3 linked regions of the Ovis aries genome follow. The main gene of each other region encodes a partner of the protein of the gene in region 2 in a complex. Links are inferred from orthologs where the notes say so. Each region holds a gene or a part of one and is shown on either strand. Other genes may lie near its edges.

Region 1 (4,537 bases), on a different chromosome or scaffold from region 2:
AGGATGCTGGGAAAAGGAAAAATGGGGGAGCAGGAAAGGCTTTCATGAATAATGACAGAGCTAAGTATAAAAAGAATGAATTAAAATTTAATGGGAGGGAGAGAGAGAATTCCAGATTTGGGGGGGCAGGGGGCGGGATCAGAAGCAAAGCCAGAGAGATGAACACCACAAATCTGCTTATGCTATTCACTCCTTGGTAAATAGTCAAAGGCTCCTAACTCTGCAGGGTAGTCCTTCACTCCAGCCTCAACCTGAGATTCCAGCCTTATCTCATTCCATTCTCCAAATATACCATGCTTACACTCTCCTGCCTCAATACTTGAATGTTCTTCCACTCCAAGAACATCTAGTTTGAAATTGGGAGACCAGCTTGCCTGCTAGAGTTGGTGCAACATTTCCAGACTTTCATGGTGCTTTTATACTTTTATTCTACTGCTTAGTATACTAAGTATTCATTTAATCAAAGAGAATATGAACGAAGTATTAACTTTTTAAACTCTGGGTAGCCAAAACAAGGATTACACTCTTTCCAACATCAAAGCAGAATAAAAGAAAAAGAGCATGGGAAAGTTCTCAAATTTGCAACATTTCCAAGATAAATGAATATGTCATTAAAGTTTGTAAAAAGTAAGCATGAAAAGTTAGAAACCCATAAACTATTAATCTTGACCCAGAACAGAATGAGACCATCACAAGACATCCTTACCAGAAGATATGAATTTAGAGAACAGCATGTCCAAGTAATCTGCAGTGATTTAAACTCACGCCAAAAAGTGTCAATTTTCAAACAAGGTAAATTCAGATTAATGGAAAAAATCACATATAATTATTTGAGCATTCAAAATCAGTATTTTAGCTATCCTTTAATGCAAGGTATCTTTCCTTTGGAGTGCTGACTTTAAAACAATTTTTAAATTCATCAACCCAAATGATAGAGACTGTCTAGAAGACACCTACTGTTTTGTTGTCATATATGGAGACCTCTTTAAAGTTCTCTTGGTATTACAGTTTACTACAGATGAAAAACAGGTAACAATGCCTCCCCAAATTGAGTGCAATCATCACTATACAGATGATTTCCACAACTTAAAGGCTATTTATCATACAATTGCTTCAGTCCACAGTAACTCTTAAGAAGTAATAGCCATACCACTTGCATCTGTTTTGAGGGTTCAATCTCTTTTTAACAAGGTCTATCAACTCTCAAGATAGGGAGATACACACGTGCAGGATATCCACCCACAACCCACTACATAAATGTTTCACCGTTCTTAACTAGACAAACAAAACCTCCTACAGTACAGTACACCACTTTCATACTAACCTCACCATACCATCTCCTTCCCATCCGATCAGTCACAGAACACACCGTTCCCAAATAACACCTCTCAATCTCCTTGAACCTAACCCATTAACACAACCAGCCAGCAGCATTCTTCACAAGGATACAGTCCTATCGACCTTCACACGTCAACCGAATCTCTAAATTAAATTCACTTTCCCTCATACACTGAAACTCAACTTCCAAAACCCGACGCGATCCTCGCTTTCAATCTCACTTAAATGATCACTCAGTTTTTTGTCAACCGTCACCCGGTCCCCTCACGTAACCGCCTCACCTTACCCCCCATCCCCTAGTCTCCCATCAACTCCCAAAGTTGCCACTCCTCAACGAAAATGACACACAAAAAAATGTACCTCAAACCTGCCCTTCCCCACTTTCCCCCTCCGAATTTTCCTCTCAGCCTGTTGGCTCACACCGAAAACAGCTCCGACAACTCTTAACGACCCGAGCCGGGCCTCGTCCCACACGTCTCGGCGACTGCAATCACCCTGCCTCGGTCAAACCGCCCCCCACTAACGCGCTTACTCTGAACAGACTCTTGGTCGCCGCTGCCTCCCCTCCATTCATCCCCAGCCCATTCATCTCTCAGCCGGATCCCAGACACGCCCCCCGGCCTCCTCCCTCACTCCCACCGTCCCGGCCGGCTCGGGACCCTCACCAGATTAGAGGCTCTCGCTGAGGGAGACTCTTTGCTTCTCCCTCGCCCTCTTTCAAGCCTCCGCTCGCCCCTCGAGTAGCCACACCATAAAACATGCAGATACACACACACCGCCTCCTCTGTCGCCTCCTCAGATGCTTCTTACTCCCCTCCTAGATGTCTCGCGCTCCGCTCCGCGTTGTGTGCGCGTGCGCGCGCGAGCGTCTCAGCGCGAGCCCACCCGGCCAGCTACCGCCGGTAGGTAAAGAGAGGGCGGGGTTAAGGGAGCGGGGTACGAGCCCAAGCTCGCGCTTGCCCGGGAGCTGAGCAGGCGCACGCGTACTCCTGTCAGGGAATTCAGATAGAGGGGGACGGAAGGGGGCGAGGAAGGGAGGGGAAGAAAGGAGGGGGGAGGGGCTGAGAAAGCAGACGGAGCAGCCCCAACTCTGAACTGCCCCTATCGCAGCGAGGTGCCGAGTGGCTACCCAACTAGAGCGTGCGCACTCCTCTCCCACTCTCCTCAGCACAGTGGGAGAGAGGGATGTTCGTCAAGAGAAAGGCTTCGCTCTTTTCCAAAAAGAAAATATGTGGGGAGCCACGCGTGACATCTGTGTGTTCAAAAGCTCTCCACGGCTGCTTTACCCTCTTCCCTTCAAAAGAAAACCCAAGCACACACTTCTTCCTAGATACCCACCGCCCATTCTCAGTTCTCTACATGCCTCTAAATGCGGTTGCTCGGCCGAGATGTGGTACTCGCCAGCATCTTTTCACCCGCCACCCCTAACTCCCTTTTTCCAACTCTCGACTTTTCTCGCGAGACCCATACCTGCCGGCTTCGGGATTAGAAGTCGAAGCACACATTTACAAATACCGGTCTCCCGATTACGCTGCGACGGCAATAGCCATAGCATGTCCCCCCTACCCTCCAGGACTGCAGTGCGCGCGCGCGGGGGCTGGGCAACCACGAAAGCAGGGATGGAAAAGGGAAGCTATGAAACGGATTTTTGACGGCATGTAACCGCTAGGCCTGGGCACGTGCCCTGCGCCTCGTGGGCGGGTGCGGTGTACCCTGGGAATTGTAGTTTTTGTTCCCACCTCCAGTCCCACTCCCACCTCAGCCTTACTTAGGCCTCTGTCCAAGAGGGGGATTGCCGACACCATTTTGCCGGGAACAATGGCCCTCGGCCGAGGCAGCGGAGGGTGGGGGAGGGAATAATGTTTTAAGGGCTCAGTTAACCTCCCCTGGCCCCTCGGTGCCATAGCAACCCCTCAGAAACCTGGCCACTCCCCCTCGCTGCTCCGCCGGGCTCCAAGATTGCGCGCATGCGAAAAGGTCACCTCCCCCTGTGGCTGGCTCTCACCGTCTCCTGCAGTCCACCTCCCAGATTCACTAGTTAGTTGTTAGTGACTGCTACCTTCTTTGAGCTTTCACAGCAGGTTAACCTCCACGCAGTGACTTTATCTAAGAACTGCTTCCTGCACTGTATCAAGTGCAATACAGAATTGTTTCTATCACTCTCACGTGAGCAATCCTGACTCTCCAGAGGAGGAAACTGAGGCTTGGGGGGAGGGGGGGGAATGGACATGACTTGCTCAAGTTCTCATAACTATGTATGGAAGAGTCAGATCTTTAACCCAGGTGTGTTCACTCCAGAGCCCATGAAATTTTCAATCCCTCAGGTTGCATCTGGTATCAGAGACCCTGAAGAAAACTCCTAAAGGGTGGTATTTCTTTCTGAATGCCCTTCAAGCTTTTAGCAGGATGCTCTGAGGGTAGGAGGCTGTGTGCAAAATGCCAGGCTAATATTTTCAAATGCCCAACCTCGGGGCCCCATCACAGAGCTGTACTAATCTCTCCTTTCCACCATTTTCTTTTTCGCCCTGTACACCTCAGAACCTCAGCCTTTCTCAGCTCTTAAAAAGAATCAATAAATTTAACTGAGGTTTCCGAAGTCCAAAGGGAGTGGAATGATGGGAGACCTTGAAGCCCTTGTTTCTTGTCTTTGCACCTTTCATCTTGAAGGTCACTTATTAATCCTAGTATTGCCAGAAAATACAAGGAAACCAGACCCGTGTGTGCCCTTAATAAATCTACCCCCTTTCCATTTTTGACAAGTGAGGGAGACACTGAGGAACTAAATTCAGGACTATGAGGTTCAGCTATTCCACCTGTAGCTAAAATTGAAAGAGCAAGATGTAATTTTTTCAAATAGTGCAACTACCTTACCTGAAAGGTCTCTGTATTCCAAATTAGCTGCAGAACGGATGGGGTCTCCCAAACTGTCTTCCCTCACTGTCCCTGAAGATAGTTCCTTTTCCCTGCTGAATCCCAGGTGGCGCTAGTGGTAAGAACCTGCCTGCCAATGCAGGATACATAAGACGCGGGTCGCTGGGCACGGCAACCCACTCCAGTATTCTTGCCTGGAGAATCCCATGAACAGAGGAGCCGGACGGGCTATAGTCCATAGGGTCGCACAGAGTCAGGCACGACTGAAGTGGCTTAGCACACACACACAGCACATGGGGAAAACAGGAAGTACAGCCAAATAACCACC
Region 2 (3,907 bases):
CTTCATAAGAACGAGATTCAGATCATCTGAGGTCAGAAAAAGCTAACTTTGAAGGGAGACAGACCTGAGTAGGAATCCTGATTCTGCCAGTGACTAATGAAAATGATGAATGACAGGACCTTGGGCTAATTAACCCCTGGATGGCTCACTTTCTAAACCTGCTAAGTGGAGTTACATGGTGTGAGCTATATGGTGAACCCCTGCAGGGCTGTGATGAGGATTAAACATAAATGAGACATAGAAAGTGCTTATTAGGACAGCACCCGGCACACAGCAAGTTTCACTTTCAAGAGATGTGGACACCTCCAAACAAATGGAAGAGATGACAATGAAGGGAATATGATCCCACTGGTTCTCTACAGAGGGATCCCCCTGAGAAAGGTTAACTCGTTGCAAAGGTGCGAGTGGGATTACATACACTGAAAGCAGACAAGAGGGAGGGAAAATAAGGTAGAACGTTAAGCTTTTGGCCTCCAGACCCACCGGTGAGAACAAACACGGCCTGCCCCCTGAACCCCAACTCCCTACCCCACCCCATACCTGCGCCGCTGCGGCGAGTGCTCATGTCCGCCACATATGTCCACTCATTGGTCGCTGGGTTGTACTGCTCCACGGTGCTCAGGCACTGGCGAGAGGCCCCATCATAGCCCCCGACAGCATACAGCTTCCCTGGAACAGACAAAGTGGCCAGGGGTGGGAGGGTGTTTTGGACCCTGGCATGAAACTGGAGCGTAGCTGAAATTCCGCCTGTAACCCACCAGCACACCCTCACCTCCATCGGGGTTCAGGGCTCCTTCCCCAGGAAGACCAAACAGAGCAAGCATCCTTCATGATTCTGCCTCCTACTTCCTCTGAAGTCCTGGGCTCCTCCTCAAAGCAGTACAGAAGCTTTATCTCAAAAAGCACCCCAAACACCCAGTGTAAAGCTATGGCCTGGCGTCACCAGGGCTCAACATATTCTCACTGGTGAACTATATTAGATCTTCTCTGGAACAAGGCACCAGGGAGATGGAAAATTTAAGGGCCCCTGCTGCAGCCAGGCTGGCAGACTGTCTGGCTAAAGGCTCACAACAGCAAACAGAACAAATATAGAAAGATATTCTCCAACAGGAACCCAAACATTGTCTTCAACATGTTTTGTACTCTATCCACCACCCAGGCAGGCAAAGCGTGTGAATGGAGTGCTCTGTGTGCACTCTGGGCTAGAGTGGCTGGAATTGATCTGCTGTAAGATCCCCTTACAATTTCTGAGCCATGCACAAGAACCTCGGAGTACCATCATCTATTTTTTTTCTTTATCTTGGAATAGGCAAAGATTTATTTAACCAAAAACAAAAAGTGCAATCCTAAAGAAAAATATTGATCTATTGGATTACATTCAAGTTAAACTTTAAAAAAAAAAATTGAAGGATAATTGCTTTACAATGTTGTATTACTTTCTGCTGACCATCACCTATTTTTATAATAAAGTACTGTAAGCTATTATCGAAGAGCATCATTTTGGCCTAAGGATGGTGGTGAGGTTGGGCAAGGGGCAGGAAACTGGTATTTGAGCTCTCCCAGAGAGATTTGAACATTTGGGTTTAACATGTAGCCTTAGAATGCAGTGGGATTCTGTGTGTGTGTGTGCTGGGTGTGGGGGTCCTACTTCATCCGAGGTCTCAGTTCTATGGGGGACCCTGGAGTTATAATAAGGATCTACACTGTAATAAGTGTATAATAAGGATGTATACTAGCTGCAGGCTAAATAAATACCACCAGATGCAAATCTACTTAAAAGGTTACCTAATCAAAAGATTTCTTTTTGGTCAATATGTACTTTCTTAATGGAGACACACCAAGAATGCAACCAATATGTGAAAAATCTGCAGTTATTTTAAGTCAGAAAGAGATTCTCAGGCTAAGAACAATGTTTTACCATCAAGACTTTACTGCATCAAATGTAAAATTATTTCTTCTTCTATCACTGAGCCTGGTTTTGTTTTCTGCCTCAAGAGCCCTCTCAACCGGCCCTTTGGCTCTTGAGACAGAAAGCAAAACCCTGATTCAGACAGGCTCCCCCAGGACCCAAGCTACTCTTGGAGTGTGTGCTGGCTCAGAGGTAACCACCTGCCTGGCCAGTTATCCATCACAAGGGAGGAGACAGGCCAGCGGTGTGGAGGAGACAAGACGCTCCTGAGGGCAATCCCAGTCTCTAAAATACACCATCTCTGCTCTGTTGGGAGCTTCTGCCTCATCTCTCAGCCTCACTGTCCCTTTTTCTACGTAGAGATTCTTCAGGACAGCTGGTAGCTAAAGATCCTGGTTTTCCTGTTTTTGTCCCCAGTTGTCAGTCAGGCTGTGATGTCGTGGTAAGGAGATGAGGAGAGGGAGGCGGCAGCCGAAATAGCTTCAGATTCAGGATGGAGAAGATAAATAAACCCCCAGTCTGTCCTCCGTGTTGACAGGGTGTGCTACCGCACAGCACTTCTGCCATGCAGAACATGCTTACAGAAGCCTCTGTCAAGGGGGTCAGGGGGAATATTTCTGATGAGCGCCATGAAGGCATCTCCTCTAACTCCCATCAACCATCTCAACCCTATGTCAGCTGAAAAAATACCCATTCAAGGTTTCTCCTTTCAGGGATACGCTATTTTTAACCCCTACACTATTGTTTGATATTCCTGACTAAGGAGCAAGGGGGGAAATGGGAAGGTGGCTAGACAAAGCACTTATGCTTGGCAGACAAATCAATTTCTGTTTCACCAGGAGGATGAGATTGCAAGAAGCAATTTATCTTGGTAGGAGGACAAAATCCTTGCACTCACTAAGGTGACTTGTTCTGTGTGTTAGAACAATATACTTTTAAATTAAAATTTAAACTATGTAATACTGGTACAGACCAAGAGATGCAGCAAGAGAAAATTACATTCCTATTAATGTCTAACTCCCTGCCCAACACTCTCCCCGAAGCACTCGTGTGAGCTGTGTGTACACGTGAGAAAGAGAAAATGCCTGTGTACCTGTGTGAATGCACAGATTCTCCACTAAATTCCCACTTCAGGACAGGCTAATAAGTCAGTGTTGTCCTGTGAAGTATAGCAGTTGAGTACAAATAATACTCTATGGTTTAATATGTTGAAGTCATATATATTTCTAAAACTCCTCTCAGTTATTAATAACATTTGCCAATGGTCTGAGTTAGAACCTGGAGACCTGGGTTCAAGGAGTGACTGTGCTCTTTTCCAGTGTGGGACAGGCACACTGATTACTCCTTTGGGACTCAGCTTCCCCTTCTGAAGAGTAGAGGAAATCCAAGTCCTGCCCTTCTCCTTCGAGAGAGTTTTAGGAACAAAACGAGAAACTGGATATGAAGGCGCTTGGCGCTCCAGTGCGCTGTCCAGCCAGGCCCCAGACCACACCCCTCTTCCTACCTCACCACACGCATCATTCCTGACTGAGCAGGACCCAGCACCAACCTTCCCTCCAGACTAATCACAACTGGGGAAAGTCACCCACCTCACTCAGGGCTCTGCTGACAATCCTCGACATAAAATATGAGGACAAAACTGATTAAACAACTGACTCTCACCCTCCCAAACACACTGTATTCCTGGGTTATATCTTGACTCTGGACTTCCCATCTTGTGATATAGATAAATAGCCAAAACGAGAGCCCAGCATTTTCCCTCTAGGCTCCTCCTGGTACCCACAGTCCAGCTCACCTAATTTCTAGCCTTGGGCCAGTAGCTACACCTCTCTGAGTCTCAACCTCTCTCATCTGCTAATCAGGAAACTAGTATCCAACTCGGCAGTAAGGAGAGGAACAGAGCCAGGACACTGGAAGAAGGCCCGGGGGCCAGGGCAGGAAAAGAAGCCATCCGTTGTCGCTCCTTACCTTCTACAACACCCACGCCTACACTGCTAC
Region 3 (4,463 bases), on a different chromosome or scaffold from region 2:
GTAAAGATAACAAAACAATCTTCAAACATATTTTTATACTTTTTCACAGATCAGTTTTATAAAACACTCTGAAAGGAGTATTTGAGGCCTCTGCTTACACTACAATTTCCCTTAGAGTAGTTGTTTATCTCAAATCGTAAAATACAGTAGTTTTAAGTGTGCACACATGAATACACACAAAATATTTTCTTCATGGAATAACAGGCATTTATTACTTCTGACTTGCAATCCATGCAGACTACAGTTAGGTAAATGACTGCTAACCTGGAAGGAAAAAAAATTCTGAAACTCTTAAGTATTCATTTACCAAATAAATCACTGAAATCACACCACTGAGGTTTTATGTAGCCATCCTTAATGAAAGTTCAAAGAACTATGATTTTTACATTTATATATTTAAAAAATGCAATGGTTCTCACTGTAGGAACTACTCATGAGTGATGTTAATACCCATGAGAAAATTTAAAACTCTCAGACATTTTTAAAAATTAGCAGATACTAAGTACTGAATATCAAACACTAGCTACTTGCAAACTTCATTTAAGGATTTTAGAGAAACTTAAGAGGGCAACAAATTACAGATAAGAAAAGGTCTGAATTAGTTCATTATCATAATGCGCCTGAAAAAAAAAGTCAGCTTCAGTGCTGTGTGGTAACCTGTCACACACTCTGATACTCTTTAGCTAAAAGAACAAAATTCTCTCCCACAGCTTCTTCCCAACAATACAAGATCCAGAAAGGAGGGATATTGTTCTCTGAAGCTATACTGATACATCCCAAGACCCCAGAACAGTACCTGGCACACAGTCCTCAGTATTTCCTAAAAGAATGAAGGAGTGGAAAAACAGGTAGGGACAGGCAAACCAAGAGATCAAAGAGTTGATTACACATAGATAAAGATAAAGCTGATTAATCAGAATATCCACAACAGTGAGTTGATGTCAAATGTGAGCTATTCCACCTTTTAACAATAATCTGTATTAGAAGTCAGACTTCAAGAATAGCAAACTTCTCTTAAAAATGTATAAAACTATTTGAAATTCTGAATAATTCTAGATTCTGCTTATTTAATAGGAACTGATTCAGTAGGAAAACTATCACTACTCACAAATTCATAAACCCAGTTCACTGTTTATAAAGAAAAACGTGCAAGTGAACTTCATTAGTGCTCTTCTGTCAACACTTGTTACTTTCTTTGTACTTTCTCACGATTACTTAGGGAAAAAACTTCCGAAATTCAAAATCCCTTTAATGTGCATTAAAACATCTAATTCTCCTGATTATATCCTATCTTTATTTACATAAAGTCCGAAGAGTCTTCACATAGGTATTAACATTTTTATTACCATCTGGGAATTCTGCATCAGGTGTATTTTTTCCTTCTAAATTTTAAGAATTCAGGGAGGTCCTCAAGTTCTCTAGGTCGGTTTCTTACTCAACTAGGACAATTATATTAATTTTTCCTCTAAAGTGCAAACTGTACTTTAGAAAAAGCATGCTTTAAGAAGTGAATACAAACCCTCTTCACCGCCCCCCACCACTCAATATAACGTGCTTGTGATTCTAAGACAGGAAACCACAGCTTCTTCTCTATAGTTTTCCTGGTTTAAAATCTTCTATTCAATTGCTAGTTTGTCCACCTTGACGTCTACCTGTTACAGAAGCGACATGAGCAAGTATGTCCAGTTTCTCTGTCCCAAGAGTACACTCTAATTGCTTGCCACTGGCTATCTGATTCAGATACGACATCCAAAGTTATACCATATAATACTAAACACCGCAGGGGTATGACTTAATTTAAGGCCAAAAAAGTTTCTAAACAAAAATACTTTTGCTGTCACTAAAACCTAGAGTAAAGCAACTCACGGTGGTGACTACTTATTCTTTTGGGCTTCCGTGGCTAGGAAATGAAGAACCAATCGTCTCATTTGTTTTGTCTTACTTCCCCTTGAGTGGCTAGGCCATTCCTGCACAGGAGAGTTTGTAAAGTGCATTGGAAGGTTGCGGATGAAAGATTCTGTAAACACACCGACGTTGTTAGTGTATTACTACAGAGCATTACGCGGAACGTCTGTCACCGCGTAGAGGGTAGGTGGACGGCAGAGCCCTTCCTGGGGAGGGGAAGATCGGGAGAGGTCCGTCCCCGGCATCTTTTAGCAGGCCATCCTTTAGGCATGGTGATTTTTTTTCAACTGCTGCGAAACCTCACGTGAAAAGTTACACACACGCCCCACACCAGGAGGACGTAGACGATCCCCATCCCTGCAGGGCTGGGAGTCCCGGGGACCGAGCAGAAGCGGGGTGCTAGGGGTTGGGCCTACACCCCAGGAGCGCGGCGAGGTGCCGGGACCGGCCGAGGGGCCCCGGCCGCAGCCGACGCCCGCGGGGCGACCGGAGGCGCAGCTCCTGGGCGGGGGCGCGGCGCCGGCCTCGGATGCCGGGGGCGCGGGGAACGGCCCCGGAGGGTGGCCGCGCCGGGGCCCCGCGCCGCCCCGTTGCCGGGAAGGCTCGCGCCCCGCGGCCGGCGGCGTGGGGGATGGGAGGCCGGGCCTGCGGCCTGTTGGGGGGGAGTTCAGCCCGGGCCTCGCGTGCGGCTGTCGGCCGGGCCCCCCGACCCGGGGTCCCAGGCGCCGAGAAGAGACTCACCGGAAAGGCCCGGATCCGCATCTTGGTGTCCTTCCGGCTGCCCGTGCCTTTGCTCAGATTCGACATGGTGCTCGTCCCCTCCCCGGCGGCGGCTTCAGGTCGCACTCCGAGGCGCCGGTGTCACATTTAAGGCGGGCGGGCAGGCGAGGGGCGACGCTGGGGGCGGCGGCGGCGGCGCGGCCCCCGGGCTGGGCTGGGGAGCTGGCCGGCCCCTGGGCGGCCGCGGCGGGGGCAGCGGCGGCTCGGTCTCCGGCGGCTCGGGCTCGGCTGGGGGACTGCGCTGGCGCGGCGGCTCCGCGGGGTCCCCCTCACGCCCGGCTCGGCTCCCTTTATCGCGCTCCTCCGCGATGGCGGCGGCGGCGGCGACGGACAAACATCTCACTGCGCAGGCCGAACGTCCTCCTCCTCCTCCTTCTCCTCCTCCGCCTCAGCGAGACGAGATCCGGCCCAGAGGGTGGAGGGGGGAGGAGGGAGGGAGGAGAGCCGGAGAGTGGAGAGATTGGGGGGAGGGGGGGAGGACAGAAGGGGGAGGCGGGCGGCCGCGGCAGGAGGAGGGGGACGCTCAAATCTCGCGAGAAGAGGGCGAGCGCGCTTTCCCGGGTGGGGCGGGGCGAAGCCTGCGAGCGGGAGGGGGCAACGGGAGAGGAGGAAGGGAACGGGGATTTGGGAAGGTGGGCCAGCGGGGCGGAGAGGTAGGAAAGGGGCGGGACTGAGGCGGGAGGAGTGAGCTGACTTTTTGAAAGAGGAGCGTTGAAGACCGGATCCTGGGTGAGGGGGCTGCTGATTGGTGGAGCGCCGGGCGAGGGGGCGGGGTCTTGTTCACGTGGACGGAGTGGGCAGGGGAAGTTCCGAGAGCCGGAGCCGGACTGTAGCAGGCAGTGCTCGGCTCCGCTTGGCTGGGCTGGGCTAGAGCGAGAGGAGGGTAGTCTCGGGGTGGAGCGTAGGGTGCTAGGTGGATAACCACGTCCTGAAACTGGTTCCTGTGTTTTTCTAGGGCAGGTGGACTAGGGATGGGTACTTGACCAGAAGCCAGAAAGTTGAAAGAAGAGTTTGTGCAGGAGTTATTAATATATGCAGTGTCAGAAAGTAGAGTCCTGTATGCCTAACAAGGTATTCGGATTGGATGTGCACACTCCAGCTGTCAAGATTGAGGGGTGGAAATCCGTAAAATTTCCTTAAACTGATTCACTGTTGTCTGAGAGACCTAGAACTTACTAGTATTAAAATTTGTGTTTCGTTGCCTTTGAAATAACAACTCCCTTAACTCAGTGCAATATTTTGGTAAATGGTGTTAAATAGAAAATAGAATAATGGAAACCTAACCTTAACCTGCCAAGTCATTTTAAGAGTATGATACATTTTGAAAGCCAAAATTTTTGTCTTTCTTTTCAGTTTGCTGATAATTTGAGGGAATAAAAGTTTGGCATTGCATTCAAAAAGTCTAGTTTGATTCATCAGTTTTGCTTTTCATTATGAATTTTACACCCTAATTTACCTCTTTGTATTGTTATAGTTGGATTTCTGACTGCAGAGGAATATGTGAGTTCCCACTAAAGTTTGTGATATCATTTTTAAGTAAGAACCTATTGTTGGAATGAATATTAATAGAATGTTAATACTTTTAAATTTTATTCTTAATGCCTTCTTTTAAGCTGAAGTTTAATTCTTTTTAAATATTTGGAAGCTGGGGGGTTTTATTTTCTATTTTTTGATAAATGAACTGGAATATACCTTTTTGATTTGTTCACTGTAAGGTTGGATTTTCCCTAAATTAACTTAATCCTGATAACTAGATTCACCAGTGTTGTGCTTTCACC

Evidence for each region. Proteins that work in one complex are often made in the same cells at the same time.
Region 1: the proteins of KLHL3 (region 2) and WNK3 are in contact, whole or in part, in a crystal structure (PDB 5NKP), measured with the Homo sapiens proteins. The link is inferred for Ovis aries from reciprocal best matches to the Homo sapiens genes KLHL3 and WNK3. Residues at the interface, in NP_059111.2 of Homo sapiens: Lys312, Arg339, Phe355, Gly357, Arg360, Thr386, Phe402, Gly404, Ser405, Gly407, Ser432, Ser433, Tyr449, Gly451, Arg454, Cys456, Ser481, His498, Arg528, Tyr577; in NP_065973.2 of Homo sapiens: Glu537, Cys538, Glu539, Glu540, Thr541, Glu542, Val543, Asp544, Gln545, His546.
Region 3: the proteins of KLHL3 (region 2) and CUL3 are in contact, whole or in part, in a crystal structure (PDB 4HXI), measured with the Homo sapiens proteins. The link is inferred for Ovis aries from reciprocal best matches to the Homo sapiens genes KLHL3 and CUL3. Residues at the interface, in NP_059111.2 of Homo sapiens: Pro73, Tyr74, Ala77, Met78, Asp82, Met83, Ser84, Glu85, Glu92, Ile93, Lys94, Asp95, Pro125, Ser128, Leu129, Gln131, Met133, Arg136, Asp160, Val161, His162, Thr163, Thr165; in NP_003581.1 of Homo sapiens: Ile44, Asn49, Ser50, Gly51, Leu52, Ser53, Phe54, Glu55, Leu57, Tyr58, Arg59, Tyr62, Thr63, Leu66, Lys68, Met118, Asp121, Ile122, Met124, Tyr125, Arg128, Val129, Gln133.

Annotation. Positions count from the first base shown.
Region 1 is NC_056080.1:52,394,445-52,398,981, forward strand, and holds the start of WNK3 (serine/threonine-protein kinase WNK3), read right to left. Parts: upstream 2,999-4,537; 5' UTR 2,809-2,998; exon of another isoform or gene 2,677-2,808; intron 2,188-2,676; exon of another isoform or gene 2,004-2,187; intron 1-2,003.
Region 2 is NC_056058.1:46,718,008-46,721,914, forward strand, and holds part of KLHL3 (kelch-like protein 3), read right to left. Parts: coding exon 3,878-3,907; intron 670-3,877; coding exon 541-669; intron 1-540. UniProt on the Homo sapiens protein: Substrate-specific adapter of a BCR (BTB-CUL3-RBX1) E3 ubiquitin ligase complex that acts as a regulator of ion transport in the distal nephron.
Region 3 is NC_056055.1:226,744,506-226,748,968, forward strand, and holds the start of CUL3 (cullin-3), read right to left. Parts: upstream 2,999-4,463; 5' UTR 2,713-2,998; coding exon 2,647-2,712; intron 1-2,646. UniProt on the Homo sapiens protein: Core component of multiple cullin-RING-based BCR (BTB-CUL3-RBX1) E3 ubiquitin-protein ligase complexes which mediate the ubiquitination and subsequent proteasomal degradation of target proteins.